4 linked regions of the Arabidopsis thaliana genome follow. The protein of the gene in region 4 purifies or fractionates together with the protein of the main gene of each other region. This does not show direct contact. Each region holds a gene or a part of one and is shown on either strand. Other genes may lie near its edges. The genes, in order: HSP60, PRXIIF, AT5G12040 and IDH-VI.

Region 1 (8,316 bases), 5.7 Mb from region 4:
CTTTCCTTCATCTTCTTTCTCACTCTCGCAGCATCGTTCCATCTGCCACCAGATGCATAGATGTTATATAGTATTACATGGGGACCAGGGTCGTCAGGGTCAAGTTCAAATACATGCTCAGCCGCATAAGCTCCCAATTCCGTATTCTTATGCATTCTACAAGCATTAAGCAGGGCTTTCCAGATGGCTGCAGTGGGTTCTATTGGCATTTCTTCAATGAATCTCAGTGCCCTATTAAGATCACCGGCTCGCCCAAGAAGGTCTACGACTGTGACGTAGTGCCAAGCCTCGGGAACTATCCCATCTTTCTTCATCAATTCATAGTAATGCCATCCTTCATCTAGAAGACCAGAATGGCTGCAAGCTGTAAGCACAGAGAGAAACGAGATTTCATTGGGGCGAATCCCAACCCTCCTCATTTCCTCGAACCACCACACTGCTTCCTTTCCAAATCCATGTTGGGCATAAGCAGTCAGCAGCGAGTTCCAAGACACCACATCCCTTTTAGCCAATCTATCGAATATTTTCCTCGCGTCATGGATGCTTCCTGATTTTGCATACATGTCAAGAAGAGTGTTTCCCGCGAAGGCCACAAGCTTTTCACCGGATTTAATCATATAAGCGTGAACCCATTTCCCTTGCTCCAAGAACCCTGTACTGGAACAAGCACCAAAGAGGCTAGCGTATGAGAAATGGGAAGGTCTAAAACCATCTCTAAGCATCCCTTGAAAAAGCTCCAGAGCTTTCTCTGTACCACTTCTCCTAGCATGACCAGCAATCAGAGCATTCCAAGAAACATCATTCCTGCTCTCAAGCGCATCAAAGACTAATTGTGCATCATCCATAAGACCATAGCGAGTATACAAATCAAGAAGAGCACTACCAACATGAACATTCGAATCAAAACCACATTTTACACAGAACCCATGAAGTTGATGACCACAACATCCCCTTCTCTCAGCTGCAGCAGCTTTGATCACACTAGACAAAGTGAACTCATTGGGACTATATCCAAATCTCAACATCTGATTAAAAAAAAGTAACGCATCACAAGGTCGATCATGCTGCGAGTAACCAGAAATCAAAGTAGTCCAAGTAACAAAATCTCTCTGAGGCATTTTTTCGAACACTTTACGAGCTTCCTCCAAACTTCCGCATTTAGCATACATATTGAGAAGAGTGTTGCCCATAACAATGTCATGACGAAAGATAGATTGAAGGATATGAGCATGAACGATCCTTCCCTGAATGAGCAACTTAAAGACTGTACATTTCTTCAGCAGCGTGTTGTAGAAACGTCTATCGGCGGGAATATAACTGCCCTCGAGATCATTGCTACTCGTTCGGAGAAGAAGATCATTGGATGGGAATTTTAAAGATTCGTCTTCGGAATCTTCAGATACCGGTGCCGGGAGAGAATTCAGACGCCGAGATAGCTTCAGCTGAGAGAGGAGACGAGGCGGGAAACGCAATGCCATGGTCGACACTCGACAACATCAAAGATGCTAACCGGAGATGAATTATAACTGAAAATAGTTTGGTTATCTTCGGTTTGTGTCAATGTATATAACCGGAATATATTTCAGTTCGATTTCATGGTAATTTGGATTTTGTGGTTTTCGTTTTTTTGGTGCATTTCAGTTAGTGGTTGCTTAATTTTGCTAAATCTTGGTTTAACTACGATGAAACTTGGGTATATATATAAATACTGTAATTTGAAGGGTCGGTTTATTGTTGGAGTACCAGACCTGAACCAGAAGCAATGACAAACACAAATGATGCCTTAGGAAAATTTGTTGATGCTAATAGTGTGTCTCGTAACATTGCCAAGTGTGCTCTGTTTATTGTAAAACTTTTGAGGTTATTGAGCAACAATAAGGCAAAGACGAAGACTAAAACTCCTAAAAGAATCGTATCTCTCTTCTCAAGTTAAGATGGTGATTGGTGAAAACAAAAGACAGAATTTAGTGGATCTAGTAGTCCATGCCTCCCATTCCACCCATGCCTGCTCCTGCTGCTCCTGACTCGCTTTCGTCTTTCGGAAGATCAACCACTACAGCTTCCGTTGTCGTCAACAAAGATGACACACTGCCAACAACGCAAGTATACAGTTTTAGCTTAAGACTCATATATCGAAATGAAGAAGAACATTGTTAGTTAGGGTGTTCGCTTTTTATTTACCTCGCAGCATCAACCAAAGCTGTCCTGATCACTTTCAGAGGGTCTATGATTCCAGCTTTCACCATATCCACATATTCACCTAGTTTGTTCTCCACAGTTAGCTAAATGCAATCTTCAGAGAGAACAAAAGTGAAGTGATGATGGATTGTGAAACTCACCTTTAGCAGCATCATAACCGAGGTCTGGGTTATCTTGCTCCAAGAGCTTGCCAACAATAACAGCACCTTCAACTCCAGCATTTGAAGCGATTGTGTAAACAGGAGTCTGGTAAACCAAAACTCGTTAAAACAATTTCTTGTCATCAATTATCAGATCAGAGGATTTTAGTTCTAAAGAATAGAAAACCTTCAATGCGTTCTGAATAATCTGGACACCAATCTTCTGGTCAAAGTTGGCTGTTGGAAGTTTTTCCAACTCTCTTGCTGCGTATAGAAGAGCCACACCTCCTCCTGCAAGTGTTTTGATTTGTTTCTTTAGCACATAGCAAACTTTTTAGCACTATATCAAAGAGTCTTCCTCACTGGAAGAGACATACCTGGTAAAATACCCTCTTCAACTGCTGCTTTAGTGGCATTCAAAGCATCTGTCACTCTGTCTTTCTTCTCACCAACTTCAGCTTCACTTGCTCCTCCAATCTAAACACAATTAGCTCCAGAAGTTATAACAAGACACTTACAACCAGGCTGCTATGATTCTAAGACTCCCAAAACATTATAACATGGACTAACCTTCAACACTGCAACACCTCCAGAGAGCTTAGCCAACCTTTCTTGCAGTTTTTCCTTGTCATAATCTGAGGTGCTCAGTTCAATTGCTGACCTAATCTGTTAGTTGCAATACCAAGCAATTAGAACGAACTACTTTCATACACTTCATAATTTCTTGCATACAAATTTTATTACTAACCAATTTATCAGGGTATAAGGTTAAAAATTACCTGTTCACATCTTTCCTCAATTCCTTTCTTGTCGCCAGCCCCATCAAGAATAACAGTGTCGTCCTTGGAGACTGTAACCTATACAAATAGCCAGACAAGTCTCAACTACACTTACAATCCAACAAGGATATGCTGAGAATGTAATAGCCAAATCTAGTTCATACTAAGAGCCACCATGTCTATATCAGTTAAGGTTTCAAAGGCTACCTTTTTGCAGGTTCCTAGCATGCTTAGGTCCACCTTCTCCAGATTCATGCCAAGCTCGTCTGTGATAACCTGTATCAAGCTAAGTCAATAATATTCCATTGTTGACAAGACTAACACATTACACAACAAATGTACTACCTCTCCACCAGTAAGGGCAGCAAGGTCTTGCAAATTGGCCTTCCTATTCTCTCCAAACCCAGGGGCCTTGATGGCACAGACCTGCAGGGAGGAAACTATTAATCTAAAAGCAAAGAAGTCATAGCTAAAAGTCAGGAGACGGTAGTAAGAGCTTCTGTTGTTCAAACCTTAATTCCGGCACGGAGCTTGTTAAGGATAAGAGTTGCAAGAGCATCACTTTCCACATCTTCAGAAACAATCAATAGTGGTCTTTGCCTCTGTAAGATTTTATTTGGACAACAGAAACCACATCAGATGCCTTTCACACAGCATTTACATGAGAAAATGATTACAGATTTACTATAAAGATAAAGTAGACATACCTTCAGAGCCAACTCCAACACTTTCACTATAGAGTTGATGCTTGAGATCTTCTTCTCGTGGATAAGAATGAGAGGATCGTCTAGTTCCTACATAGATTAATTCCAATTCAGTAACTTCTATAATTGATATGACACATCAAGAAACTTAATTGAGCAGGGAGTAAAAAACTTACACATTTTTGGGTTTTTTGATTAGTGATAAAGTATGGTGAAGTATAACCTCTGTCCAATTTCATCCCCTCTACAACTTCCAACTCGTTAAACAATGTCTTTCCATCCTGCAATGCATTATACCCACGTCAGAATTATGTTTTGACCAATATATAAGTAGCAACATGAGCAATCATTCGGCGATTTACTTACTTGGATTGTGATAACACCTTCTTTGCCAACCTTCTCCATAGCCTTGGCAATAAGTTCACCAATTTCCCTCTCTCCATTAGCAGAAATGGTTCCAACCTGAGCAATCTCTTCAGATGTGCTGATCATCCTAGCCTTGCTTTTAAGGTTTGTCACCACAGCATCAACTGCCATGGAAATACCTCTTCGCAAGTCCATTGCATTCATTCCTGCGGCAACTGATTTGCATCCTTCGGCAAATATAGCCCGGGTGAGGACAGTAGCACAAGTAGTACCTGCATGACAAGTTAAACAAGCATTGGTACATAGTTTTGCAAAGTTTCTACAACTATGAACCGCATAATCAATCAAAATGAAATATCTTACCATCACCAGCAACATCATTAGTAGCATTTGCAACCTGCTTCACAAGACTAGCACCAACGTTCTTAATTTTGTCTTTGAACTCAATACTTTTGGCAACAGTAACACCATCTTTTGTCACTTTAGGAGCACCCCAACTTTGCTCAATCACAACATTACGTCCCTTCAAAATTAGAATCACATAAAGCAGAAAGTCTTAGACCAAATTCGATACAGAATCAACCGGTCACCCAAATCACATGCTAAGGAAGGAACCTCTGGCCAAATCATGTCCAAATCAAATCAAAATGTGTAGAAGAAAAAGAGTACCTTGGGACCCATGGTGACTTTAACAGCATCAGCAAGATCTTCAACACCCTTAAGCATCAAAGCTCGAGCTTCAACACCAAACTTAATCTCTTTCGCTGCATAGTTCCTGCTCCAGCTCATTCTGCTGGAAACCTGGCGAGCGTTTTGAGCAATCCTGAAGAACAGAGAACAATAAAGACACCATTTTTATTATCAGAACTGGCAATTCAGAATCGGGATTAAGCTAGTAGATTTCGAGAGCCCAGATGAATTTGAAGAGAGTAGATCAAAACCCAAATCGATTTAATTCCTCATTAGCTTCCAATGAGAGTGAATAAAAAACACGAAGAAAGTGAGTTCATTACCTTGCCTTGGAGGCGAGGTTAGAAGCGAAACGATACATGGTGAGTGAGAAGGAAGAGGATTAACGATGAAGAGATGATTCTGATGAGCGAGTTAGATTAGATCAATGGAGAACAGGCGGAGAGAGAGAGAGAGAGAGAAGAAGAGTTGAGAGGGCTTAATAAGCGAAGGAGAAGAGTCTAGAAGCAGCTGCTAGTTACTATATGAGCCTTTTAGGGTTTTAGGCCTCTTTAGGGTTTAACTTTCATTTCAAACTTAAAAATCGTTAATCTCATTTGACGAAAAAAAAAAAAAAAAAAGTCGTTAATCTCATTTTCCAATTTAATTTCTGTAATATTTTTTGCCCCAAAGAAACAGATTTCATTTTTTCATCTTTTGATAACCAGCATTTGTGATTTTGCCATAATATACATGTCAAATTTTATATAGCGTTTAACCAAAAAATAAAATAAAATTATATCGCTTGATCTAAATATCCTTGAATCTAATCAAACTGAACCACACCAAACCAAAGAAAACCAACGGTAATTAAATGGTTCCGGTTGGATTAGGTTTTTGGTTTAGGTTTGCTTCAGCTCTACAAAACAAATCGGTGTTTCGAGTTTTTTAAATTGAATTTGTTCTCTAAAATCAGTGGCAATTTGTGTAATATTTTACCTCAGTAAAAGTTTCTTAAATACGCAAAGATAAAAACTGATAATATGAAATAGAACTCCAAAAGAAATCCAAAATCCAAACAATGCAAACAAAAAAGTGAACCAAACCCCATAATAAACACCTAGATGATACCAAAAGGTTGACCTTGCTTCACTTTTTTTCTTCATTACTTTGCTCTTTTAGTTGTCCTAAAGTAGAGGAATTTGAAGCTTCTATTGATATTAAAATTTGTCAATTTCTCTCTTTAAAAACATGAGTAATTTGGTGGGCTGTCGTCATGTTCCACGGGCCACATGGATGCTCCTATTTATTTTCTTTACCTGTCATATGTGTCCATCACGACTCATTTCTCTCCATTTTTTTTTCTCTTAATTTTCTTACTACCTAAACATTCTCTCTTATTTTTCAAAAAATACAACAGACTATGAACAAATACATTACACACTTCTTATACATTTTTAAAATCAAAAGCTACATGAAATCTAAATTTCACCAAACAAACAATGAGTGAACGTTAAAAAAAAATTGCAACCAAACAAAGAAAAAAAAAAACGAGTAAAAACGTTTAATTCAAAGCAGAGAAGGGGAAAATAAAAAGAAAGGGATCTGTTAAAAAGAGATCTGACGAACAAAATTAATATTTGAACTTCGTCCTCCTCTCCTTCAGATCGAAAACCCTAATTTCGATTTCTTTGTTTGACAATTCCATCGATTTTTGAACTTGTTTTCTCGAGATCTCCATCTGTTTCCTCCACCCCGAAATTTCAACGATATCTTCTCGATCTGTGCGTCAGGATCTGGGCTTTTTGAAATTTGAGTTTTCTCCTCAATCATAACAACGGCGATTTCCGGGAATGGCTTTGGCTAAAACGGATTCAATGGTAATTGAAAAAGCATTGATTTGAAGCAATTGGAGAGGGAACATTTCCCTCTGCGAGATTTCGAGTATTTTTCAATGGCATCAGCTACTAGTTCCCGGAGGCAAGAGGACGTTGAAGCTGGACGCCGTAAGGTAGATCATCATCATCATAATCATCATCTTTTGTTTGATTCTCTCGTTACTTTGAATTTGCCCCTAAAATTTGTCGGTGCTGAGTCAATTGATCATTTTTTTTAGGTGGGTTGTTTATATTGGAATTGAGATTGATGTCCTAACGCATGCAATCAGAATTGAGATTTATTCGACAAAAAGCTTGTTTTTTTTAAAGATGAATGCGTAAAATTGTGTGTTTCTTATCGTTTAATTTCTGGATTTTCAGCTTGAGCAGTTTCGTAAACGAAAAGCAGCAGAAAAAGCTAAAAAGGCATCACAGAATACACAACCTGTTGATAATAGCCAACAAAGTGTCATAGATTCAGATGGAGCTGGTGCATCTATCTCTAATGGACCTCTCAAGCAATCTGCTGAATCTACCTCAAATGAAACCCATACCAAAGATGTATATAATTTATCATTTTCGAATACAGCAATGGATGATGGAAGCAAAGAAAGAAGTAGACAAGATGATGGTCAGGAATCAGTGGGCAAAGTTGATTTTTCTAATAGCTTAGAGTTGATAGGTTCATCGAAGGACTTAACAGTGAATACTAGGCCTGAAGTTGTACCTTATAGCAATATAGACAAGCAATCGAGTGAAAGTTTTGATCGTGCTTCTACTCTAAGAGAAACTGCATCTCTTTTTTCTGGAACCTCAATGCAAATGGATGGTTTCATTCACGGCAGTGGATTAACCTCATCCAGAAAAGGTACGTGGCTATCATATGAGGTTAATGTAGTAATGTATTTTGTCCTAACCCTCCTTCTTTTTTGTTCCTTAAAGGCAACAACCTAATTTATCATTACGGTTTTTGTTGCTAGACTCTCTACAACCTACTACCAGGATGGCAGGGTCTTTTGACGAAGTTGCCAAAAACCAACAGGGAAGTGGTGAACTAGGAGGTAGCATTGTGCAGAAGCCAACTTTGTCAAGCAGTTATTTGTTTAATTCTCCAGACACATCATCTCGACCTTCTGAACCTTCAGATTTCAGTGTGAATATCACAAGCTCTTCACCATTAAACTCAGCTAAGAGTGAAGCAACTGTGAAGAGATCTCGTCCGTCTTTCCTTGATTCCCTCAATATATCAAGAGCTCCAGAGACTCAATATCAACACCCTGAGATACAAGCGGATTTGGTTACATCCAGTGGTTCCCAACTATCTGGCAGTGATGGTTTTGGGCCATCTTATATATCAGGGAGAAGAGACAGTAATGGACCATCATCTTTGACAAGCGGAGCATCTGATTATCCTAATCCATTTGAAAAGTTTCGGAGTTCTTTATATCCTGCTGCCAATGGAGTAATGCCAGGTTTTACTGATTTCTCTATGCCAAAACAAAATGATGATTTTACTGCTCTGGAACAGGTAAGATACTTATTTCTTGCACCATCTTTTATTTTGTTAATGTATTGTCAATTG
Region 2 (6,112 bases), 1.2 Mb from region 4:
CGCTTCCTTCAGACCCAAACTTGTGAACGTTCTCACTTCTTTTATCACTTTGATCTTATCAGATGCATTAAACTTCTCCAACTTCACATCGAAAGCCGTCTTCTCCTTCTTCTCCTCTACATTCCCAGCTCCGGTATCTTGTTTTGCTCCAATGCCGTCCGATGAAATCATCTGTTGTTTTGGAAGCCTCAGGTGTTCATTGAGTGCAGGACCAATCTGTTTTCTTTCTTCTGGAGATAAAGCAGCTATACGCTCAGCTAGCTCCATGATTTTGCTTGAAGGCTGGGGTCTAGGACCATACGGATCATAAACTGACGGGTATTTGTATTTCTTGGGTTTAGCTTTCGAGACAGAGTCTTGCTGCAAGAAACGAACTTGCACAGACCAGATTACTTCCGGTTGACATTGGCGAGAACGAACGTTTCTAACAAGTGAAATAAGCTTCATGACTACTATTCCTCTGCTACCATACAAACATCAACCCAAGATCATTTCATGTCTCAAAATGTCAACAGGACAGCAACAGTAAAAACTCTCCTGTGTTTTCAAAAAAAGACGAAAACTTTAGCTAGCGAATCTACTAAACATTGATAATATTCCAATGCAAAGAGATCAAGATCTCAGAATAAGACTGATTATCAAGAAATTAGTGCTTAACATAAAAATAATTTCAAGAAACATGTTTCTATTGTATAGGTTTAGGTTCAAAGGTTTCTTCTTTGCAGATCAAATGAACATATCAAGATCAGTGAAACAAAATGGTGAGTAAGAAAGGATGATTCATAAGATCGGTTTCAGCGTCAATAGCCCAAATATAAATTCCAATGTATCAGATTTGATAGTCTAGGTTATTAGCTGCTAACACAGTTCCGAAATCAAACAATGGGATCCATGAACCGCCAATCTATTATCTGAGAGTTGGAAATCGGAGAAGGAGATGAGAAAGAGAGATAAGGCTTACCTCCAACGGCGGAAACGGCAAGCTTCGCCGGCTCTGACTTGATTATTACTGTGAGAGACGGAGATGAGTCACGCATAGGGTTTAGAGTGGAAAGATTCCTCTTTTCGGCTCAAAATTACTTTTGTCTATGGGCCAAGCCCAATAAGGATCTTATCAACAAATTTGACATACTACGTCCTTGTAAGGCCTTTCACAACAACCCACTCAGCTTTCATGTCCTCCCTCAAGAGCAGCACCTAGTTCATCTATATACCTTCATACTCCACAAGCAATGGCTTTATTTGGCATTGGGTTTGAAATAGCTGGCTCCGGATTTTAGTCAAATGAAAGAGCAGCTTGTGATTGCAGAAACAGATCTCGAGGCCACAAGGTTAGAGACTCAACAATGGAAGGAGAAACACCAGGTAGCGAGGAAAGAAGCTAAATTGCTCAAGAACACGAGTGGGAGACTTAGGATTAAGCAGAGGAGTCTTAACCTTCATGTTGACAATGGGGACACGAAAAATCATATCCCTCAACCACATTGGTTTCTTATTCATATTATGAACCAGATTTACATTTGGTGAGAAACGGCAAGACACATAAGTTTTATTTAAACTGAAACTGTGGAAACAAAACAAAAGAAGTGAAGCTGTTACTTGGTCTGATCCTTGAGACATGTTCGGATCAAACTTATTATCAGTTGCAACTCAGAAGAAACAGCAACTCTGGAAATACTTTTTAGATCTGTCCTAAGATGACTTCTGCCCCTGTAACCTTGAAGTCAGACGGTGCTTCTTCCACATTCACCGCCTTAACCTTCCCGTCTTCTACATAAGCCGACCATCTGAACATGGACATCATAAATCCAACGAATCTGTTAGATCAATGGTTTACGATACAAACATTTCTACAAATGGACTTTCCAGTATATTACCTCTCAGACCGTGGCCCGAGCAATGCAGCAGAGAGATCCTTGTCTAGCCCCAAGCTTTTGTGAAATTTCCCATCAAAATCTCCATAAAACTCAATCTGGTATGACAACGTTCAAGAGCATCACATTAAGTCATTTGTTCTAGCATGTAGTACTAGTCGATATAAAGAATTATGAACTTTCTAATGAGGGAAGTCCATTTAATCATAGAATCAAATTCTTTTATCGTCTATTAATGTGAAGGTAATCATAGACAACGTTCAAGAGCATCACATTTAAGTCATTTCTTCTAGCACGTAAACTTATCCGAACATAAACATAGAAATCTATTGTAATGCTAGTCCATATCAAGAATTATGAACTTTCTAATAAGGGAAGTCCATTTAATCATAGAATCAGATCTGTTTATCGTCTATTGGTGTAATATAAAATCTTGAGACCACAGACAACGTGAATAATAGAGTAATATAGTTCTAACTATAAGAGGTTGATTACTATCAGGACGTCAACAAGAGTTACATACTTGAGGAGTTAAAAGATTCCTAAATGAACCATCTTCACCACTGAAAACTCTTAGACAACGAAACCAGGAACCGAATAATATATGTTATGTTGCAAATCAAGTTTTCTGAAGCAAAGAACCAAATCAGCATACACTAAACATCGGATTAGGTTGGTGTCAAAGAACAAAGATAGGAACAAAAAAAAAATCGATGAACTTACTGCATCTTTGGCACCAAGCTTCTCTGCCCAACCATTGATAGCAAAGGGATCATTAACAGAGACACAGATGACAGAATCAATGCCTTTGGCTTTAAACTTATCAATGTGGCTCTTGTAGCTAGGCACATGCTGCTGTGAACAAACTCCCGTGTAAGCCCCCTGAACACAGAAAACGAATATTCCGGCACAACATCAGAACTCAGAAACCTGATCAAGACATAAAGGAACATGAAAAGATAGAGATTTCTTACAGGAAGACCAAAGATGACGACTTTCTTCCCCTGCAACCAATCAATATCCACAAACGTTTTGTCAGAAATTGAAATCCCCCTCTGAATTGAAATTGTCAGAAAAGAGAGATTCGAACCTTGAAGATATCTGACAATGGCGTGGTGGAGAATTTGGAGGAAACACCTTCGTCCCAGCTGCGAGCTTTCTGGAGAGAAACGCCAGGCGCCGCCGAGGTTATGTCAGTGCCTTCCGCGAGCTTTGAGAAACCCCTCGATGAAACTCCGATCCGGGCACTATTTGCCGCCGATCTTAGTGCCGATAAATTTCTTAGCTTTAGAATTGACATCGCCATCGCTGAAAATAAGATTGAGACCGTTTCTTGGTTCCTTCGATTACTGTATAGTGTCGTTTATGGCACTTCTCAAAGACCTTTCTAAAGAGACTTAATCGTTGCCGTTTTGTAACAAACAAATCAGACTGCACGTTGTTTAAAAGCCTCAAGAACAGCACACACTCAAATTTTGGTTTTGAAGTTTTTACTTCTTTCAAATACATCATTTACATTTCATCTTGTGAAAAACATTCACTTCTTGACCAAGTAAAAAATACATTCAAATGAGTTCTTTGATTTCTCTATAAAAAAAAAGAAAAAACAGAGCTTGTTCAAAGACCGGAAACATGAATCTTGACGAGTTTCTACAAAACTATCAGCAATGTCGATATTCTGAATTGGTATAGTCGACTAGCTGGCGTGGTACCGGACTGAGAAGAAGGTTTGAGAATACCCATCAATGTTTAAGCTTCTGCCAAAAGCACTTCAAGATACATTGTCGGGCTGTCTGAAATTACAAAAGAGAAGCAATTTTAGAATAGTGATGTCGCAGTCAAGCAAGAGCAAATTCTATATGATGACAACTTGATGGCATTAGGAACTTACCATTTGGTTTTGGTTTTGCTCCATTTTTCAATGGCTTTATACCAATCCCATTGAAAGAAGAGAGCGATTAATCTTATAGGCCCTGCGGTTATAACTTCAAGAAAAGCAAGCCAAAATGATCTTTGAGGGGACATGCCGGTTGTCGCGAGAGACAGTAAGAATCCCTCAAAGTTGCATGAGACGGTGAAGTTTCCTGCTTTTATGCCATCCATAGCCTTTTTTGCTACTTCTTCTGTTTCCATTGAACCAGAGGATGCAGCTATTATGGCAGTGACTTCAGGTCTGCTCTTCTGTTCTGAGAGAGCACCCAAGGAAAATCAATCAAACTCATAATATGAACCAAGGAACTCAGAACATCAGTCCATAATGTGTTTACTTCATTAGTTATCAAAAAAAAAAAAGTGCTTACTTCATTCTCAGATAGGCAAAAAGAAGTCTTTTATGAAATTTTCAGATGCTATTGGAAGATAACTACATCCCATTATTCTCTTCTAAACAGTATCATGTGAACCACAGTACGCAGAGACTTCAAGCTAAACACTATCACAGTACTCAGTACTTAACTCACCAGTCTATCAGTTTCTCCTAACTGGCACTCTCATAGAACATGTGAACATGAAATGCTACGTGTTTGATAGAGTACACAATTATTCAGACCAGATAAGGGCACATATTTGATCTCATAATAACAAACTAGATGAATAATAGTTTATGTCTACATATGTCCCAACCATATAGTACAGCCTTATTTAGTAATCTGTCTCCAACTCTTTTATACATTTAATTGCCTTAGTATTTAGTAGCAGTACCTAATCCTAGCTACCCTCACATGTTAAACTTAGATTATCTGCTCTATACATCCATGATGAATCTGAAAAATACTGAAGCTTTTTTACCTTCTTCAAAGCCGGGTGTATTAGTGTCAGGAGGAAAAATAAGAGTGACATGAATATCATCAGATATAACTTCCTGTTGCAATGCTTGCGCTAAACCCTGAAGACCAAACTTGCTTGCTGAATATGCAGCATAACCATAGACACCAACCTGAAAATTTTATTAAAAAAAACATCCTTCATCATTCTATCTTTAAAACTGCATTACATGAGGTCACATTATTGCAGTTACACAAAAGTTACTTCAAGTGATAAATTGTCAATGTCTTACTTCAGGTAACTACAATCTCCAGATAAAACTTAAATCCATAAAGATGGGAAATTTGAGAGACGAACCTGACCAGCTTGAGAGGAGACGAGACTGATGGAAGCAGGTCCACGATCTTTCCTTGCTTTCATGGCAGGCAAAGCGGCTTTAATCACATTGAAGCTCCCAACAAGATTTACGTCAATCGTGAATTTGACATCTTCAGGACTATGTTTCACCAGCTCCTTCGCCGTAAACACACCTTGGTTAACAATCAACACATCGATCGGTCCCGATTCATCTATCGCCTTCGAGACTGCATCGTAATCGCGAACGTCTGCAGAGAATGTGGCGACTTCGACACCAGTGGCGAGCTGGATCGATTTCTTAGCCTCCTCGAGCTTTGATCCGGATCGGGCGAGGATTGAGACACGAGCGCCCTCGGAAGCGGCGCGGTGGGCGAGAGCAAGACCGATGCCGCTAGATCCACCGGTGATGAAGGCGTGACGGGACTTGATAGGGATCTTAATGGGACGAGGACGTACAATTAGGGCTAAGATAGCGAGAAGCGATAGTGGGATAATGGGAATGAGGAAGAGAAGGAAGAGAGGAGAAATGGCCGCCATGGATCTCGTGACGAAGCTCTCGGCGATGTGAAGCTCCGTCAGCTCATTCATTGGAGAAATAAAAACAAATACGATTAGACCAGTTAACCAATTACTCGGTTTAATGATTTCTATCTGAACCGGCCGTTTTAGTTTCTCGCTGTAATTTATTTTTTATATAATAATTTTGTGACTTGTTGTCGTTGTGTTTCAAAATTGGTTTCTATTTTCTAATGATGTCGTTAAAAAACAACTGACACTAATCACCTTATTTGTTGTAGTTGATTTAGACTAATACACATTTTTATGAAAGAGATGAATAGAAAATTGTATAGTATTATTTTGTGAAATTATTTTAGTTTCTTCTGACATTTGTTTCACAAGAGAACATGTTACGTGACTACGTGTGATAGAGTTAAAAAAAGATTGTGTTCGTATTGCGCAACTTGTAATAAGGAGATGTTGAGTTAATACTTTCACATATGGGTGGTTAGTCTTATATGTGACATTTAAAACTAATTTAAGATACAGCTAGTTGACAGAAAACATACAGCTTTGATCCCATATAAATGTCTAAATTGAGATGTTTTTAGATTTAAAAA
Region 3 (7,636 bases), on a different chromosome or scaffold from region 4:
CTTGTTTTGCGTCTTTTTCAGTCTCACATGCTTCCTTCCTTTCTTGTTCCTTCATTGTTCCTCATTTCATAAACACTTATGTCTTCTTCTTCTTTTTTTTTTTCTTTTTTCGTTATGAAAAACACTTATGTCTTCTTGTGTGTCTATTCTATATATCTTTGTCACACTTCGGCCAATGTTTTTCGTTTGACATCTCCTTATCATATCCAGTTTCGAATAATTCCCCCGTAAATATTGTTTCTAGTTTGGACCATACTTTTACCTAAACATAATAATACAAGACAGTTAAAAAAACAAACAAGATATATAGTACAAAACAGAAACTTACATAAACATGACTTCTTGTTTGATTGTTATGAAAGCAAAAATATTTTTGTGTCCTTGTTTAAAATACTATGCCTATAACAATAATATACTCCAAAATTGAGTGATACTATTTGGGAGTAGATATCATTTACACATCATACAAACATTACACTAATTTCTATTTGTATGTTTAAGAGAAATATAATCTATAAAGTAAAAGCAACAAAAACTGTAAGATAATGTTCGCTAAAGTGAGGTTGAATAGATAAAATATTTACAAAAAAAGGGTTACAAAATGATATAAAATGGAAATGAATCTTAAAAAATGGAAACAACTATTTGAGTTATTGGGATATGAGCAAGAAACAGGAGTAAAAGGAAATAATACCGCACGGGGTAGTCAGAGATTGAGCTGGTCAGGGAGAGACAATAAGAGCTGACACAAAGAAAAGAGAGAAGATTCACGCGGTGGTACCGAACTGTGGTGAGGTTTGGTCCTACACGTGACCTGGCACGTGAAGCATAGCCCATGGCCACATGGGCCCCTAGCACGTGCGGCCTCCCACACGCGTACGGCATTCCTTCTTTCGCAGAGTCCCTGTGACGAGCATGGACCACTCTACGTCTTTCTTTACCCTATAGGCTTGGTCCACGTGTCTTCTCCAAAGACGAAACCACTACACACTGTGGTGAATCTTGTAAGGCTTCTGCTGTTGTAACTGCATTTTGTCGTCCGGTCATTTATCATTCAACAATAACCACGGATCTTCAAATCATGTTGAGGCCGCTGACAAAAGTTTATATGTTATTTCATTTTCAAATCTTTTATATCCCACTTGTGCTTGTGGATGAACCTATCTGCATACTCTATATACTCTTTTCTTCTTCTCATCTAAAACAAATTACATTGCATATTACAAATCTTGATGTGTAGCAAAATATACCATGGCTATCTTTGACTTGACTTGAGTTATGTGATGAAACGTTTTGAGTAGGTGTGAACATTTGAAGAACCAGTTATAACAATTTTAGTTTAAGTAAGTACTCGATATTGAATATGATGGTTGTGGAATGAAGATATGAGTTGTTTTTTTCATAGACAATGACATTTACTGAGAAATTCACAAAAATAGTGTATATATTTTGATAAAAAAGTCAAATGCTATTCTGATTGCGAATCACAAGTCTACATTGTTATCAGAATGCATTGAAGTTTATAAACAACAAACACATGGCAAGTGGGTGGAGTTCACATTATCTAAGCAGAATTTACTTGCCTTTGTTCGATTTTAACTCAAAAGTTTGATTTTTATTCTTTTACATATCTCAGCAAAGTTGTGGAGAAATGACTGATCATGCATGAAGTTGTAAGTAACCAAATCGTGCTCAACTCGCAATATCTCTCAGATATACAGTTACTGCTGCGTTCATTTAGAGTCTAAGCGCTGTACGTCTACAAGCTGGTAAAGATCTCCCCGCCGCTGCCTATTCAATGGAAGGCTAGTCCTAAGATGGTAAAAAAAACGAGATTCAGTTAGCGGATCACGCTATCAAAAACCAAGAAAGTTCTGGTGTTTCCGTGATTACCTTCGTTGTTCAAGGATAGAGTAATCAATCTCTGCTATGATAATGGCCTCCTCATGCTCAGTCGTTGCTAGTACTTCTCCAAACTGTCAAATAATATATATGTTTCAAAGTTTAGTGATCAGCTAAAAGCTTCATTATCAATCAAGTAACACAGAAAAAGTTTAGTGCTTACAGGCCCAACGAGTGTTGAGTGCCCCCAAGCAGTGTAGCCAGCTCCTGAATCTCTGGCAGGTGAGCATGTCGCCACATATAACTGGAGAAAGTAGCATACATAGTTCTATTAACCGGTCCATGACTTTGATAACAGTCAATTAAGTAAAACTAACCCCAAAGAGCAGAAGATAATACTTGTATTGATAACTCAAAGAAAAATGCAGGTTTGCTATGAATTCATTAAGAAATGTCAGAACTTGTATCTCTCTTTTGGCTATCAATACAAGTATTTAACTTGGTTCATGTACCTGATTATCCGTAGCCCTGAAATGGAACAAAACAGATCGATGAGCATTGTGATTTACCCATGATTAAATAAGCCAAGAAAGTCGTAATGTAGTAGACTGTGAATCATACCTGGCCCTTTGTAGTAATTCCCAATGCAATGGTCCAGTTGTCATGTTAAAGGCTCCCGGGTAGCACAGCAAATGAGCCCCTGATATGATTAAAGTAAACATGTGGGTGATGAGGTTCTTTAAAACGTAATGGACCCGAAAAAGAGAGGAAGCAGATAGTCCATTTGGATAAAGCATTATGATATGAAGACTCACCTCTTGCAGCATATATCATAGCTAACTCCTGGAACCTGATATCATAACAGATGCCTATTCCAATACGCCCTACATCTGCAACAACCAACAAAACTATCATTCTCAAGCGCTGCACCGCGTTAAAGATTTCTCATAAGTACTAGAAAGTGAGAGGTGATGTGAACGGTCCTACTATGACTTGATTGTTCAATAAAGACATTTCCCCAGTCAAAATAGTTGGCAAGATCTTAAAAACATTATTATTCATAAACACTAGGCCAGCATGAAAATGAATCATTTCACTGTTGAGCTAAGAAGATCCCAAATCTGACTGGAAATTTAAATCCTTAATCCTAAATTATTATTTTTAGATAGTACCACAATGAGTTTATGTAAGATACATGATTGTTTATGCATGACCTGGAATTATATTTGGCAAACCAAGATTATAACCTGTGTCAACGATTGTTGGTGTCTCTCCAGCAGTAAGAGTTTTGGATTCCATAAAAGTAATCTTCCCGGGAATGTCTATATCAAATAAATGTATCTGTATGCACACACAAGTACAAACACAAATAAGTGCAAGCAATCAAAAACAAGATGTTCTGAGAATTGATAATATAAGCATAAAACGGTCAAGGCCATCTCGCCTCATAATTTGTCCTTATGAATCATAGAGGAAGAACTCGAACCAGAACATAACTACCACATCATTCTAATTACTGATTCTAAGTCTATTAGATCCTAAAAACAGATGATAAAAGATGAACAACGATTTTAGAAGTAAGATTAGCATCTTTCATTCTATGGCCTAAAGCAGAGGAAAGTTCATTATTTCTTCTATGAAAGTTTAATCTCAAAAAATCTAACCTTCCGATGCTTAGCTTTTAGCTCTCCATCGGAACCAAAGACACAGCAAGTGTTATACAAACGATCTCCAACTCTTTCTGGTATAGATCCACCAATGATTGTAATCTTGAGACGTTTGGAAACTTCAGAAAGCATTGCCGTTGAAGGAGAAGCATCACCACCTGCATCAATCTCCTCCGCATAAACTGGAAAACTATCATTGGAATACGGACTGTTCCAAATTTCCTGAAACAAACCCATTGAATGGTTTTAAACCCCATAGAGACGATACCACTAGCTCATACTTTTTGTAAATTTTACACATTTGAGCAACAGAACATTAGAATTGAACTCACAAAGAGCTATGAGCTAAGATACAAAGAAGAAAAACTCACGGGTAAGAGAACAAGCTTAGCTCCTTTAGAAGCAGCTTCTTCAATGGCTTTTTTAGCATGAGAGATGTTTCTCTTTTTGTCAGATGTAACAGATAGCTGACACAATCCGATGTTGAACTACAAAATTACCCATGGAACGAAGAAATCAATCAAAAGCTGAAATGATTGAAAACCCAAAGGTAAATGAAAAGAAAGGAGCTAACTTTGGTCAACGGAGGAGCTGGGAGAGGAAGAGCAGAGGGAACTCTAGCTTGTTCAGGGTTGAAAGAAGAAGCCATGGAAGAGGAAATGGATCTTAAAGCTGAGGTTGACGAAGATGGGAGCTTCAAGGTGTGACTAGTGATCGATCTCGGAGATAATTTAGGGAGGAAGTTAGATTTGAGAGAAATGAAGCGAGAAAGAGGATTAGGGTTTAAAAGATTCTTCGAATTGAAGAAGAGTGACGATGAAATTGCTGACTTCATTTCACTTTAGTCCGATGATCATATAGGTAGGTAGATGATATTGATACTTCACCTCACAAAAGCCATGACTCATGAATCCTCTGCGTTTGCGTTTCAACCGTATTGACGCGGTTCAATCAATTTTATACACTAAATTCGAATGAAATCGTACCAAACCGGATAAATTTAACATCCTTACTAAATCCAAAACAGAATACATATGGGCCTGAAAACGAATTGGTCTTGGGCCTGACCGAATCAATCGCTTTTCTCTACATTCGTCTAGAAATATCCATCTACACTTCTCCAACGATCAAGACGTTTCTCGAACGTTAGAGAAGCGCTTTTAAGTTCTATAACACCGAAACAATCGCTCTCTCTACATTGCTCTAGAACTATCCAACTCAACTTCTATTTAATACTTTCTTACATCAAAATCAAAATCAATCAAACCAAAGAAAAAGCCAAGAAGCAAGAAAGTTAACACAACAGCTAAGAATGGATTTGGAGTTTGGAAGGTTTCCAATATTTTCAATCCTCGAAGACATGCTTGAAGCCCCTGAAGAACAAACCGAGAAGACTCGTAACAACCCTTCAAGAGCTTACATGCGAGACGCAAAGGCAATGGCTGCTACACCAGCTGACGTTATCGAGCACCCGGATGCGTACGTTTTCGCCGTGGACATGCCTGGAATCAAAGGAGATGAGATTCAGGTCCAGATAGAGAACGAGAACGTGCTTGTGGTGAGTGGCAAAAGACAGAGGGACAACAAGGAGAATGAAGGTGTGAAGTTTGTGAGGATGGAGAGGAGGATGGGGAAGTTTATGAGGAAGTTTCAGTTACCTGATAATGCAGATTTGGAGAAGATCTCTGCGGCTTGTAATGACGGTGTGTTGAAAGTGACTATTCCGAAACTTCCTCCTCCTGAGCCAAAGAAACCAAAGACTATACAAGTTCAAGTCGCTTGAGTTTGTTTGTGATCGTGTTTTTGTGTTTTAATGAATGTAATCGATAAGCAACTACCTCTTGGTGTTCGTTGTAAAATGAAATAAAAATAGTTTTCTCTGTTCATATTTGTCTTTGTGTTCAATCTTCAAATCAATGAAGTTTTTGCTCTCTTGAACCATCCATGCTTATGAGGCAAAAATAGGACCACAACAAAAAAGACACCGAATGGTCATTCCTCTGTTTTTGCAGAAATTATTACTGTTCATCCTTTCCTAATATCATTGGTGCTATTTAGCACATTGGCCATCAAATCCACATTTGCATTTCACCCTTATCTCTGCAGTCAGCAAAATATATTTTTGGAGTTATGTCCCTTGAAGTAATTTATGGGTATGAGATCAGTAACACAGTGTTATTATATCTGCAAAAACTCTTACATATTCAATTTTATCCTTTAAGTATTAGATGAAAGGAAACAATTTTGTTATTCTGATTTTAAAATCCAAACAACTCTTTGTACTTTTTTCATGTTGGATAACGTAACTGAATCTTCAGCTACTACATCTGTAGTATAATACGAAGTCTGATATCTCAATCTGCTACATTATTTTTTAAATGAAATTTGCATTTGCGAATGCAAATAACATCAACTGAGTTTTAAGACAAATCAAGTTTTGTGCAGATTTGTAACCGTCTTTAATAGCTTATATTAATGTCGTTATACACGATTTAGTGGTATTCAGTGAGTTAGTGCTACCACATATATAGTATTTTTCTTTGGTCACTAAAATAAATATGGTCTTTCATTAATTTTTCTGACCAGAAACCAGAGCATATACTAATTTAGTCTTGTTTCCATCATTAAGACTTTGAACTTCTGATCTTGAGGTGCATGTTGTACACTTGTAATCCAAGTCTTCAGCAATTGTATGTACTTTCCAGTTGAATGTATTCTTTAAAATGAGCAATATTGTTCGGATTCCTTAAATCACAAAATTTGTTCTTTAATTTGCTAAAACACTAATCTTATGAATCATGAACTATTTTCACATATGGAATGGGCCTTGATATATTCCTAATTTAAAAGCCCATATAGATATTAAAAATTCTGTAAAGTTATGGCTCATATTTTATCAAACCTGAGTTACAGAGTTCACAAAAACCAGAACGACCAAGACGTTTCTCGAACAATACGGAAGAACTTCTAAAGACCGCGACAATCGCTCTCTCGACAATCCTCTAGAAATATCCATCTCCACTCCTATTTAAGTCCCCACATTTCTCACATCAAACTCATCAAAGAAAACAAAAAGCCAAGAATCAAAGAATCAGGAAAGCAAACACAACACAACTAACAATGGATTTAGGAAGGTTTCCAATAATCTCAATCCTCGAAGACATGCTTGAAGTCCCCGAAGACCACAACAACGAGAAGACCCGCAACAACCCTTCACGAGTTTACATGCGAGACGCTAAGGCAATGGCTGCTACACCTGCTGACGTCATCGAGCACCCTAACGCATATGCATTCGTCGTGGACATGCCTGGAATCAAAGGAGATGAGATCAAGGTTCAGGTCGAGAACGACAATGTGCTTGTGGTGAGTGGAGAGAGGCAGAGAGAGAACAAAGAAAACGAAGGTGTGAAGTATGTGAGGATGGAGAGAAGAATGGGTAAGTTCATGAGGAAGTTTCAGTTGCCTGAAAATGCAGATTTGGACAAGATCTCTGCTGTTTGTCATGACGGTGTGTTGAAGGTTACTGTTCAGAAACTTCCTCCTCCGGAACCAAAGAAACCAAAGACAATTCAAGTTCAAGTTGCTTGAGTTTGTTTTGTGATTGTGTGTTGGATTTATCTATTTTGTTTTGATTTATGGATTTGATGAATGTAATCGGAATGCGTGAGGGATATGGTGTTTTGTTCTAAGATGAAATAAAAGTTTGTTCTGTTTCTTTCATTCTCCTTTGGGATATTCAAATTAATGAAGTTGTTATAAGAATCTTCCACATCAAAGTTCTGGAAACATCTATTGGCCCAGTGGAAATAAGAATGTTAATATACATCTCTAAATCGCTCACTTACATTATGTGAAACAGATAACTGCATGTGATACATACTTCACTTTATTTAATTTGACCAAGTGACAGACCAATTGGTCAGTCCTCTGTTTTGCATAACTTAAAATACTTGTTCTTTATTGTTCATCTTTTTTAAGCATATATCTTTGGTGATCATTTCTTCTACTAATTCCAACACATCTCTTTAGCCATCTAAGTCCAAATATGCTTACCATTACCTATACAGTCAACAAATATACGTTTGGAGTTAGGCCCTAAAAGTAATTTATGAATCTGTTCAGTGGAA
Region 4 (7,420 bases):
TATTTGAAAAATAATCACTGTCATATTAAAATCACATCAAGAATCACTTAAGGGCAATGAAAAATCACCACACTTGTGTCTGTTTCCCTTAAACATAGCACTTGTCACAATCAAATCATAATTCTTCTACGCAGATTACATATACATATCCACATCAATTACAGAACAACTTGAAGAGTAAATACTAATCAATCCTCATTATCACCATTTGAATTCAAATGCACGCTAGGATTGAGAAAAAGTGAATTCACTTACATGGGCAAATGTTTGTCCTCTGCGAGAATCGCATTGTTCAATTTGATGTCGTATCTGTCACGAATTCAAAAGAAAGCATTAGAATTCAGAGAACCCATAAAGAATATCGTAAACACAAACAATCTAGATCCGAGCGAAAACGATCCGGATCTGAGCTTACTTGTCGAGAAACTGTTGGTCGACGACGGCAGAGACGTCGAGGAGTGGGTTTCCCATTCCCAAAAGGATTCCATCGAAATCAGAGGAAGCCATGGATGATGATGTTAGAAGGATTTTCGAGGAAAGGGAAGAGGTTCAGATCTGGTAAATGGAGGAGCAAGTGTTTTGTGTGAGTGAAGTGTTTGTGTTTATAAGCTCTGAAACCAAAGTAGGTATACCAAAGATAGATTCTTCTTCTTCCTATTATTTTATATATATTATTTTTTAATGCATATTTATCTTTTTTTTTGGGCAAAATAATGTATATTTATATATTAGCTCAAAATCATGCATAAATTTGCCATTGGAATTTCTAATTCTATATTAAACCAAATTTTAGTATAGTTCATTTCATTCAACTTCATTTGTAGAGAAAAGTTAACTGAAACAAAATTTATGAGTAACGAAATAATTGATGAAATAGAGTAGTGTTGTTGTCAAATGCAGCTATATACGTCCCTATCCCACCAACCCACTTGAGAAAAGTGTCAACACATGTCCAAAAGTCTATTGGATCTTGTTGTAAGAACATAAAAATTCTAATTAAGTTGTTTCTTTAAGAGAGAGTTAAAAACAATGAGAAAACCAAATGTGACAGCATTGCAACTTACAAAATGAATAGGAAAAAGATTGAATTTGTCGGTGGCATTGAAAAGTCCTGAATCATCCACGTTGGTTTGTTTCAGCATTGAAAGTTTTCACTTTTCAGGGTTTGAGAGTTATGTATTCATTCATTCACAGAGAATAGGCAAACAATTTAGGTAAGGACAAAAGGGACGATATTATTATTGTTGAAAATTCACAGAGAATAAGACATAACGCCAAACAATTCAGGCAAAATCCACAAACTGTAAATGTGAACCTTTTGATGGATTCTTCCAATATCTGTATCCTTCTTTTGTTATGGATCTTAAAGGCAGAAGAAGTAATACAGCTCTGCAAGAACTTCAAATCTAAGGAAAACACAAGTCAATGTCTAAAGCCTATGGCGGCTTTGTTTCTCCTCATAGGAAGAGGATCAATATGTAGAAAAATTTTGGAGTGAAAATCCAAGAGGAAGATCCAATAAGTAAGTAAGGAAAGAATTATGGTTTTTCACGGGTGTTTAGAGATGATCACAGATGGCTTTTGTGAAATCTGTTGTAGTTGAGGAACCTCCGAGATCAGCAGTTCTATACTTTCCCTCGGCTATTGTGTTGATGATGGCACTGTGGATTTGCTCTGCTTGTTTGTTGAGCTTCAGGTGCCGCAACATCATCACTCCACTCAGTAGCAAAGCTGTTGGGTTCGCCAGGTTCTACACAACACCAGCAAAGAATAACAAACATGTGGATCATAAGCTAAAAATCGAATCAAGTTCTGATATTGAATAGTGGCAAGATAATATCTAAACCCACTGTATTTGAAAACATGATTTATTTATTAGACTCCTTAACCCTCAATGCTAGGTTGGCCAGTTATTAACATCATTCAAGTACTACAAGCACGATCATCCAGTAAGAACCATTCTACAATATAAACTAGACAATAATCCATTCTACAATGAAAGCTTCTGAATGTTCAACCAAGAAATGGCATAGAAGAGAGTAATGGAGAATCTTCTCTCAGGAACAGCTTCTATCATACTTAGTTTTAGGGTAAAAGTAGGCAAGTTCACTTAAATTTGTCAAAATCTGTAATGCAGTGTCTAAATCCTATTTACTCTAATAATTTAACAAGTTAACAACAACTCTATGCATCAAACGAATTTAGAACGATGATAACATCTAAGAATGATGACTAACCATTCCAGCAATATCAGGTGCAGAGCCGTGAACAGCTTCAGCAAGGGCAATACCATCCTCCCCAATATTCATACTGGAACAAAACATAATAAGAGCATAAGATGATTGCCTCATTTTCATACTAGACAATAATCTGTGAGACGAAGAAACAAATGTTACCTAGGAGTCAGTCCTAGTCCCCCAACAAGTCCAGCACACAAATCGCTGATAATATCTCCATAGAGATTTGGCATCACCAAGACATCAAAAAGTGCTGGGTTTTTCACAAGCTGTCAGAATTAAGATTATCAATCCCACATTGTTCCATAAGTAAAATTAGCGAAAAGCAGACCCAAGTATGGGTTGCTGGGAAATCTAACCTTCAAAATCAACAAGATTATCCCAAATACTAACTTAATTAACAATGAGATTGACCTTTACATAATTTGGAACAAAAGATAGGGTGGATATCATGTTATAGCTTACCATCATACAGCAATTGTCAATAACAACCTTCTCGTAATATATCTCAGGATACTTCGCAGCAACTTCATCACAACACTGCAAAGCAGGAAGCAAATAAAAACTTGTCTCAGAACAAAGGTTAAGAAAAAGAAGCCAGTGAGAGACTAGAAAAATTGCTATGTTCCCCTAATTGAGAAGTGCTAATGTATTCTGAGTTCCAAAATGAGCTGACCTGCAGGAAAAGACCATCAGTTTTCTGCATAATGTTGGCTTTGTGAATTGCAGAAACTTTCTTCCTTCCGTGAGTCTTGGCATAAAGAAAGGCATACTCGGCAACTCTCATACTCGCCTTACGGGTAATAATTTTAAGACTTTCCACTACACCCTTGACGACCTAGCAAATAAAAATGACAAATCATCAACATGGCTCTAAAAATGATACTAGATACAGATTCACTAAAATGACAGAACAATAGACTAACCTGGTGTTCAAGCCCACTGTACTCTCCTTCAGTGTTCTCACGAATGGTAATGAGATCAACATCATCATAACGGGTTTTGTAACCAGGAAGACTGTAACAAGGCCTAACATTGGCATACAAATTCAGCTCTTTCCTAAGAGTAAGGTTCAAGGAACGGTGACCCTTTCCAATTGGAGTAGCCATTGGTCCTTTCAAACCAACCTTGTTTTTAAGCACAGATTGAAGATTATCCCATGTCAAGAAACTATTGGTTCTAGGATCTACTTCAGTACCAACAAACTGTTCGTCCCAATCAATAACCACATCAGCGGCAGTAAACACCTGGATCAGCATAAAGGGAAAACATTTTCAGAACCATCAGCTATAAACTAAAAAAAACAAACTTTATGATTCAAATCTCTCCCTTGACACGTCTCAAAAAGTATTCAGACATTATGGTTCCTAAGAGTATCCAGAATCTATAACAAAATTTATATGGTAACATAAATTACACAACACCAAAGTAGATTGAAAAAAGGGACCTGCTTGACAGATTCAGCGATTTCGGGACCGATCCCATCACCGGGAAAGAGAGTAGCTTTGATCGGAGTGGAGGAGGAGAAGAAAGCCCTAGAAACGGAAATGAACGGACCGGAGCTAGAACTCGAAGTCCCGAGAATCTGGCTCGATCCGTTACCGATAAGCCGTCTCGCGAGAAATGCTGTCATGGTCATCGCTTCCAGCCTCAGAAGGACGCAGAGAGAGAAAGAGAGGAAAGAGGAGACTTTTTGCTGCGTTGGACCTGAAAAAGTTTACTTTTATACCTTCTCTAGCTCCAGCAGAGAAGCAGAGAACATTTCGATTTCCATGAAATAAAACGGCACAAAGTTAGTGTCTGAAAATAAGAAACGGCATCAGCCTATGTTCTTAAACGGCCATGGTCAAATGAACCGGATATCAATAAATTATAAAAACCGGTCAGATGAAATTAAGCATTCAGATCCCGATAAGCAGTGTGACACTGAAACAGCGAAAGGAGCTCTCTCTCACTCCGAGGCGATTTCTTCTGTCTCGACGATCTTGCGCTTTTCACATTTGAATCCTCCAATCCATTACTTCTTCTCCGATCTTTTATTCCGGTGATCCTTTGGATTATGATTATCGAGATCCATTGCTGCCTATTTGAGTCTTGAATCATTTGTTTGCGTTCTCATCTGTGCTTAGTTATGTGATTCTCCGATAAGATTTAGTTATGTGATTAATGCATGTATGTATCAATCCGAATTTTGGTGATTCGTTGTCTATTATTAAATACGTCAATCTCCATTTGTAATCCCTGGTTGAAATAATAGCTATCTTGTCATGGAGATCATCAACATTACATTTACTACACTACACACATAATGTCACATATGATCTTAGTATATGTACTCTTTTGTACCAGTGACTAGAACAACTGTGAGTGTGGGTTGAAGTTTTTAATATCTTGTTAAAATCGAAAGTTTTTGACTCAGATACTACTTGGTTTTGTTTTTGTCACTGTTTCAGGTACATCTCAAGTCTTACAACAATGTCTCCTGTAAGTACATATGCATTATATGATTGTATTTCGTATTCTGTTAGAATGTGTGTATGTTGCCGCAATCATACAGCTTTGTAGGAGTTTTACTCTTTTTTTGGACTGGAACTTAATTACTGACTTTCCAATGTACATTGAATAGGATTCTTGTCCTTTGGTAAAGAAGATTCTTCTTCTAGACTCTGAAGGAAAGCGTGTGGCTGTCAAGTATTACTCGGATGACTGGCCAACTAATGCCGCCAAGTTAAGTTTTGAGAAGTATGTATTCTCAAAGACCTCTAAGACCAATGCTCGTACAGAAGGTAAGACTACATAACATTTTTCATCTACACAATTTCTATCATGTTTCCTGACTTCGTGTATGCTTATATACTTATCTCTTTCAAATAGCCATATCGATGTTTTATGTGCAGCTGAGATCACACTGTTGGACAGCAATATTATTGTCTATAAGTTTGCCCAGGACCTTCACTTCTTTGTTACTGGAGGTGAAAATGAAAACGAGCTCATCTTAGCTTCTGTTCTTCAAGGCTTTTTTGATGCTGTTGCACTTCTTCTGAGGTATTTGTTTGACTTGACAACTGAATATGCCTTTATTTATTGATCAACCATCTCCACAACTAAAGTATGATGCATCCCTTTTTTTTTTTACCAGGAGCAATGTGGAAAAGATGGAAGCCCTTGAGAACTTGGATCTCATCTTTCTATGCCTTGATGAAATGGTCGATCAAGGGTATGCAAGTTTAATAGTTTAGCCCTACACGACAATTACATAAAAGTCTTAAGCATGCTAAAGATTTGCTCAACCTTTTTTAAGCTTGTCCCATATATCTTAGCAGTTAGCTATTGTCTGATTGTGGCTTATTATGGAATATGTGTTAAGGGTGGTTCTTGAAACGGATCCAAACGTCATTGCGGGGAAAGTAGCAATGCAGAGCACAGAAGCTAGTGGTTCACTCTCTGAACAGGTAACGACACTTTTGACTATTATTGTTACATCTCCCTGTGGAAAAGCAATAGTCTTGATTTAGTTTTGCTATAACTTTGGTCTGGTTTGGCTATAAACACAAACGTGAACTTCTAATTTGAACCCTCTGTTTACATTTCGGTATTGCAGACACTAACACAAGCGCTAGCAACAGCTCGGGAGCATCTGGCAAGAAGTCTGCTTACATGAGTTCCATCATGGCGACACAATAATAGAAGCATGGACTTCAATTTCTATGTTGAGCAACTTTTTATTTTTGAGTCTTTCGGTTTGAAAGTCTCTAATAATTGAATTCTGCAAACAAACTCTTAAAGTTTGGTAGTAAAGGTTTGATTATATATATAGCTTTGTGCAATGCATGAATGTTTTTGGAGAGTGGAATTTTATTACTCTAATTGAAGTCTAAACTCTAAGCAATTCAGGAATATTTCATTTTCCAAGCGATTTCAGATGCTAGTGATCTTGTAAGGTGAAGAAAGACTAAAGTGCCACCCCTCAGAACCTTCTATTTTGAGGTGCACGCCATATCAGAAGAGCAAGAATTGTTTTGGTTCGTATTTTATAAAAATAATCAAAGCAAGAATTGTTTTGGTTCGCATTTTATAAAAAAATCAAAGCGATAAACAAGATAATACTAAATTTCGAATTATTTAATTAACAGATTAAGTCGAATATTTTATAATTATCGAAAGCTGATTTAAATCCAAAACTTTTCCTCTTCTATATAAACTGAGAAACGCTTTTACTCAAACCCTAAATCGATCGTTCTGCAAAAGTTTTCTGTGAAGTACTACTACTCTCTCTCAAGGTATTTGTTTCTTCTATCTCTTCTCATCATCTTTTTTCGCCTGATCTTTTTGGTTCTTACCATTCAGAATCCTCCTTTCTCTCCCATAAAAAAAATTGTTTACAGATGACAATTCAAATCTACGCAAAGACTCTTACAGAAAAGACCATAACACTTGATGTTGAAACCTCCGACTCCATTCATAATGTCAAGGCTAAGATCCAGAACAAGGAAGGCATTCCTTTAGACCAGCAACGACTTATCTTTGCTGGTAAACAGCTCGAGGATGGCCTTACCTTGGCTGATTACAACATCCAGAAAGAGTCAACTCTCCACTTGGTTCTGAGGTTGAGAGGTGGTATGCAAATCTTTGTGCAGACTCTTACGGGAAAGACCATAACCCTTGAGGTCAAAAGCTCAGACACTATCGATAACGTCAAGGCCAAGATCCAAGATAAAGAAGGAATCCTTCCTCGCCAGCAGAGACTTATCTTTGCAGGTAAGCAACTCGAGGATGGTCGTACTCTTGCCGATTACAACATCCAGAAAGAGTCAACACTGCATCTTGTCCTTCGTCTTTGCGGTGGTATGCAGATATTTGTGAGTACCTTTTCCGGTAAAAACTTTACCAGTGACACCCTCACCCTAAAAGTTGAGAGCTCAGACACCATTGAAAATGTCAAGGCGAAGATTCAAGACAGGGAAGGTTTACGCCCGGACCACCAGAGGCTTATCTTTCACGGTGAAGAGCTCTTCACCGAGGATAATCGTACTCTTGCGGATTACGGCATCCGGAATAGGTCAACCCTTTGCCTTGCCCTTCGTCTTCGCGGTGATATGTATATATTTGTGAAAAACCTTCCTTATAATTCCTTTACCGGTGAAAACTTCATCCTAGAAGTTGAGAGCTCAGACACCATTGAC

What was found.
Region 1: the proteins of IDH-VI (region 4) and HSP60 purify together in Arabidopsis thaliana (affinity purification with mass spectrometry, with the first as the bait; one large-scale study listed by BioGRID). This does not show direct contact.
Region 2: the proteins of IDH-VI (region 4) and PRXIIF purify together in Arabidopsis thaliana (affinity purification with mass spectrometry, with the first as the bait; one large-scale study listed by BioGRID). This does not show direct contact.
Region 3: the proteins of IDH-VI (region 4) and AT5G12040 purify together in Arabidopsis thaliana (affinity purification with mass spectrometry, with the first as the bait; one large-scale study listed by BioGRID). This does not show direct contact.

What each region holds. Positions count from the first base shown.
Region 1 is NC_003074.8:8,665,936-8,674,251, reverse strand, and holds HSP60 (heat shock protein 60), read right to left. Parts: upstream 5,481-8,316; 5' UTR 5,240-5,480; coding exon 5,202-5,239; intron 5,012-5,201; coding exon 4,858-5,011; intron 4,712-4,857; coding exon 4,552-4,711; intron 4,461-4,551; coding exon 4,189-4,460; intron 4,104-4,188; coding exon 3,999-4,103; intron 3,913-3,998; coding exon 3,826-3,912; intron 3,721-3,825; coding exon 3,631-3,720; intron 3,545-3,630; coding exon 3,464-3,544; intron 3,395-3,463; coding exon 3,326-3,394; intron 3,197-3,325; coding exon 3,119-3,196; intron 3,006-3,118; coding exon 2,910-3,005; intron 2,817-2,909; coding exon 2,717-2,816; intron 2,631-2,716; coding exon 2,527-2,630; intron 2,446-2,526; coding exon 2,340-2,445; intron 2,261-2,339; coding exon 2,182-2,260; intron 2,089-2,181; coding exon 1,974-2,088; 3' UTR 1,674-1,973; downstream 1-1,673. Other genes in the region: AT3G24000 (Tetratricopeptide repeat (TPR)-like superfamily protein), read right to left, coding at 1-1,478; BLI (BLISTER), read left to right, coding at 6,812-6,868, 7,116-7,602, 7,715-8,262.
Region 2 is NC_003074.8:1,824,630-1,830,741, forward strand, and holds PRXIIF (peroxiredoxin IIF), read right to left. Parts: upstream 3,278-6,112; 5' UTR 3,181-3,277; coding exon 2,965-3,180; intron 2,879-2,964; coding exon 2,849-2,878; intron 2,757-2,848; coding exon 2,598-2,756; coding exon of another isoform or gene 2,448-2,597; exon of another isoform or gene 2,398-2,447; intron 1,973-2,397; coding exon 1,878-1,972; intron 1,788-1,877; coding exon 1,682-1,787; 3' UTR 1,370-1,681; downstream 1-1,369. Other genes in the region: AT3G06040 (Ribosomal protein L12/ ATP-dependent Clp protease adaptor protein ClpS family protein), read right to left, coding at 1-447; TSC10A (NAD(P)-binding Rossmann-fold superfamily protein), read right to left, coding at 3,667-3,667, 3,766-4,060, 4,662-4,809, 4,995-5,582. UniProt on the Arabidopsis thaliana protein: Thiol-specific peroxidase that catalyzes the reduction of hydrogen peroxide and organic hydroperoxides to water and alcohols, respectively. Plays a role in cell protection against oxidative stress by detoxifying peroxides.
Region 3 is NC_003076.8:3,881,870-3,889,505, reverse strand, and holds AT5G12040 (Nitrilase/cyanide hydratase and apolipoprotein N-acyltransferase family protein), read right to left. Parts: upstream 4,558-7,636; 5' UTR 4,345-4,557; coding exon 4,084-4,344; intron 3,998-4,083; coding exon 3,881-3,997; intron 3,732-3,880; coding exon 3,507-3,731; intron 3,184-3,506; coding exon 3,090-3,183; intron 2,733-3,089; coding exon 2,658-2,732; intron 2,543-2,657; coding exon 2,464-2,542; intron 2,371-2,463; coding exon 2,355-2,370; coding exon of another isoform or gene 2,337-2,354; exon of another isoform or gene 2,147-2,336; coding exon 2,066-2,146; intron 1,977-2,065; coding exon 1,894-1,976; intron 1,813-1,893; coding exon 1,734-1,812; 3' UTR 1,429-1,733; downstream 1-1,428. Other genes in the region: AT5G12043 (uncharacterized protein), read left to right, coding at 612-746; HSP17.6A (heat shock protein 17.6A), read left to right, coding at 4,822-5,292; HSP17.6II (17.6 kDa class II heat shock protein), read left to right, coding at 6,630-7,097. UniProt on the Arabidopsis thaliana protein: Omega-amidase involved in the metabolism of asparagine. Probably also closely coupled with glutamine transamination in the methionine salvage cycle.
Region 4 is NC_003074.8:3,005,209-3,012,628, reverse strand, and holds IDH-VI (isocitrate dehydrogenase VI), read right to left. Parts: upstream 4,064-7,420; 5' UTR 3,877-4,063; coding exon 3,685-3,876; intron 3,485-3,684; coding exon 3,164-3,484; intron 3,076-3,163; coding exon 2,914-3,075; intron 2,778-2,913; coding exon 2,703-2,777; intron 2,507-2,702; coding exon 2,397-2,506; intron 2,311-2,396; coding exon 2,238-2,310; intron 1,751-2,237; coding exon 1,559-1,750; 3' UTR 1,164-1,558; downstream 1-1,163. Other genes in the region: ADK1 (adenosine kinase 1), read right to left, coding at 256-309, 416-507; AT3G09800 (SNARE-like superfamily protein), read left to right, coding at 4,064-4,281, 4,691-4,721, 4,864-5,023, 5,135-5,282, 5,377-5,454, 5,605-5,689, 5,839-5,898; UBQ8 (ubiquitin 8), read left to right, coding at 6,623-7,420. UniProt on the Arabidopsis thaliana protein: Catalytic subunit of the NAD(+)-dependent isocitrate dehydrogenase involved in the oxidative decarboxylation of isocitrate to 2-oxoglutarate. Performs an essential role in the oxidative function of the citric acid cycle.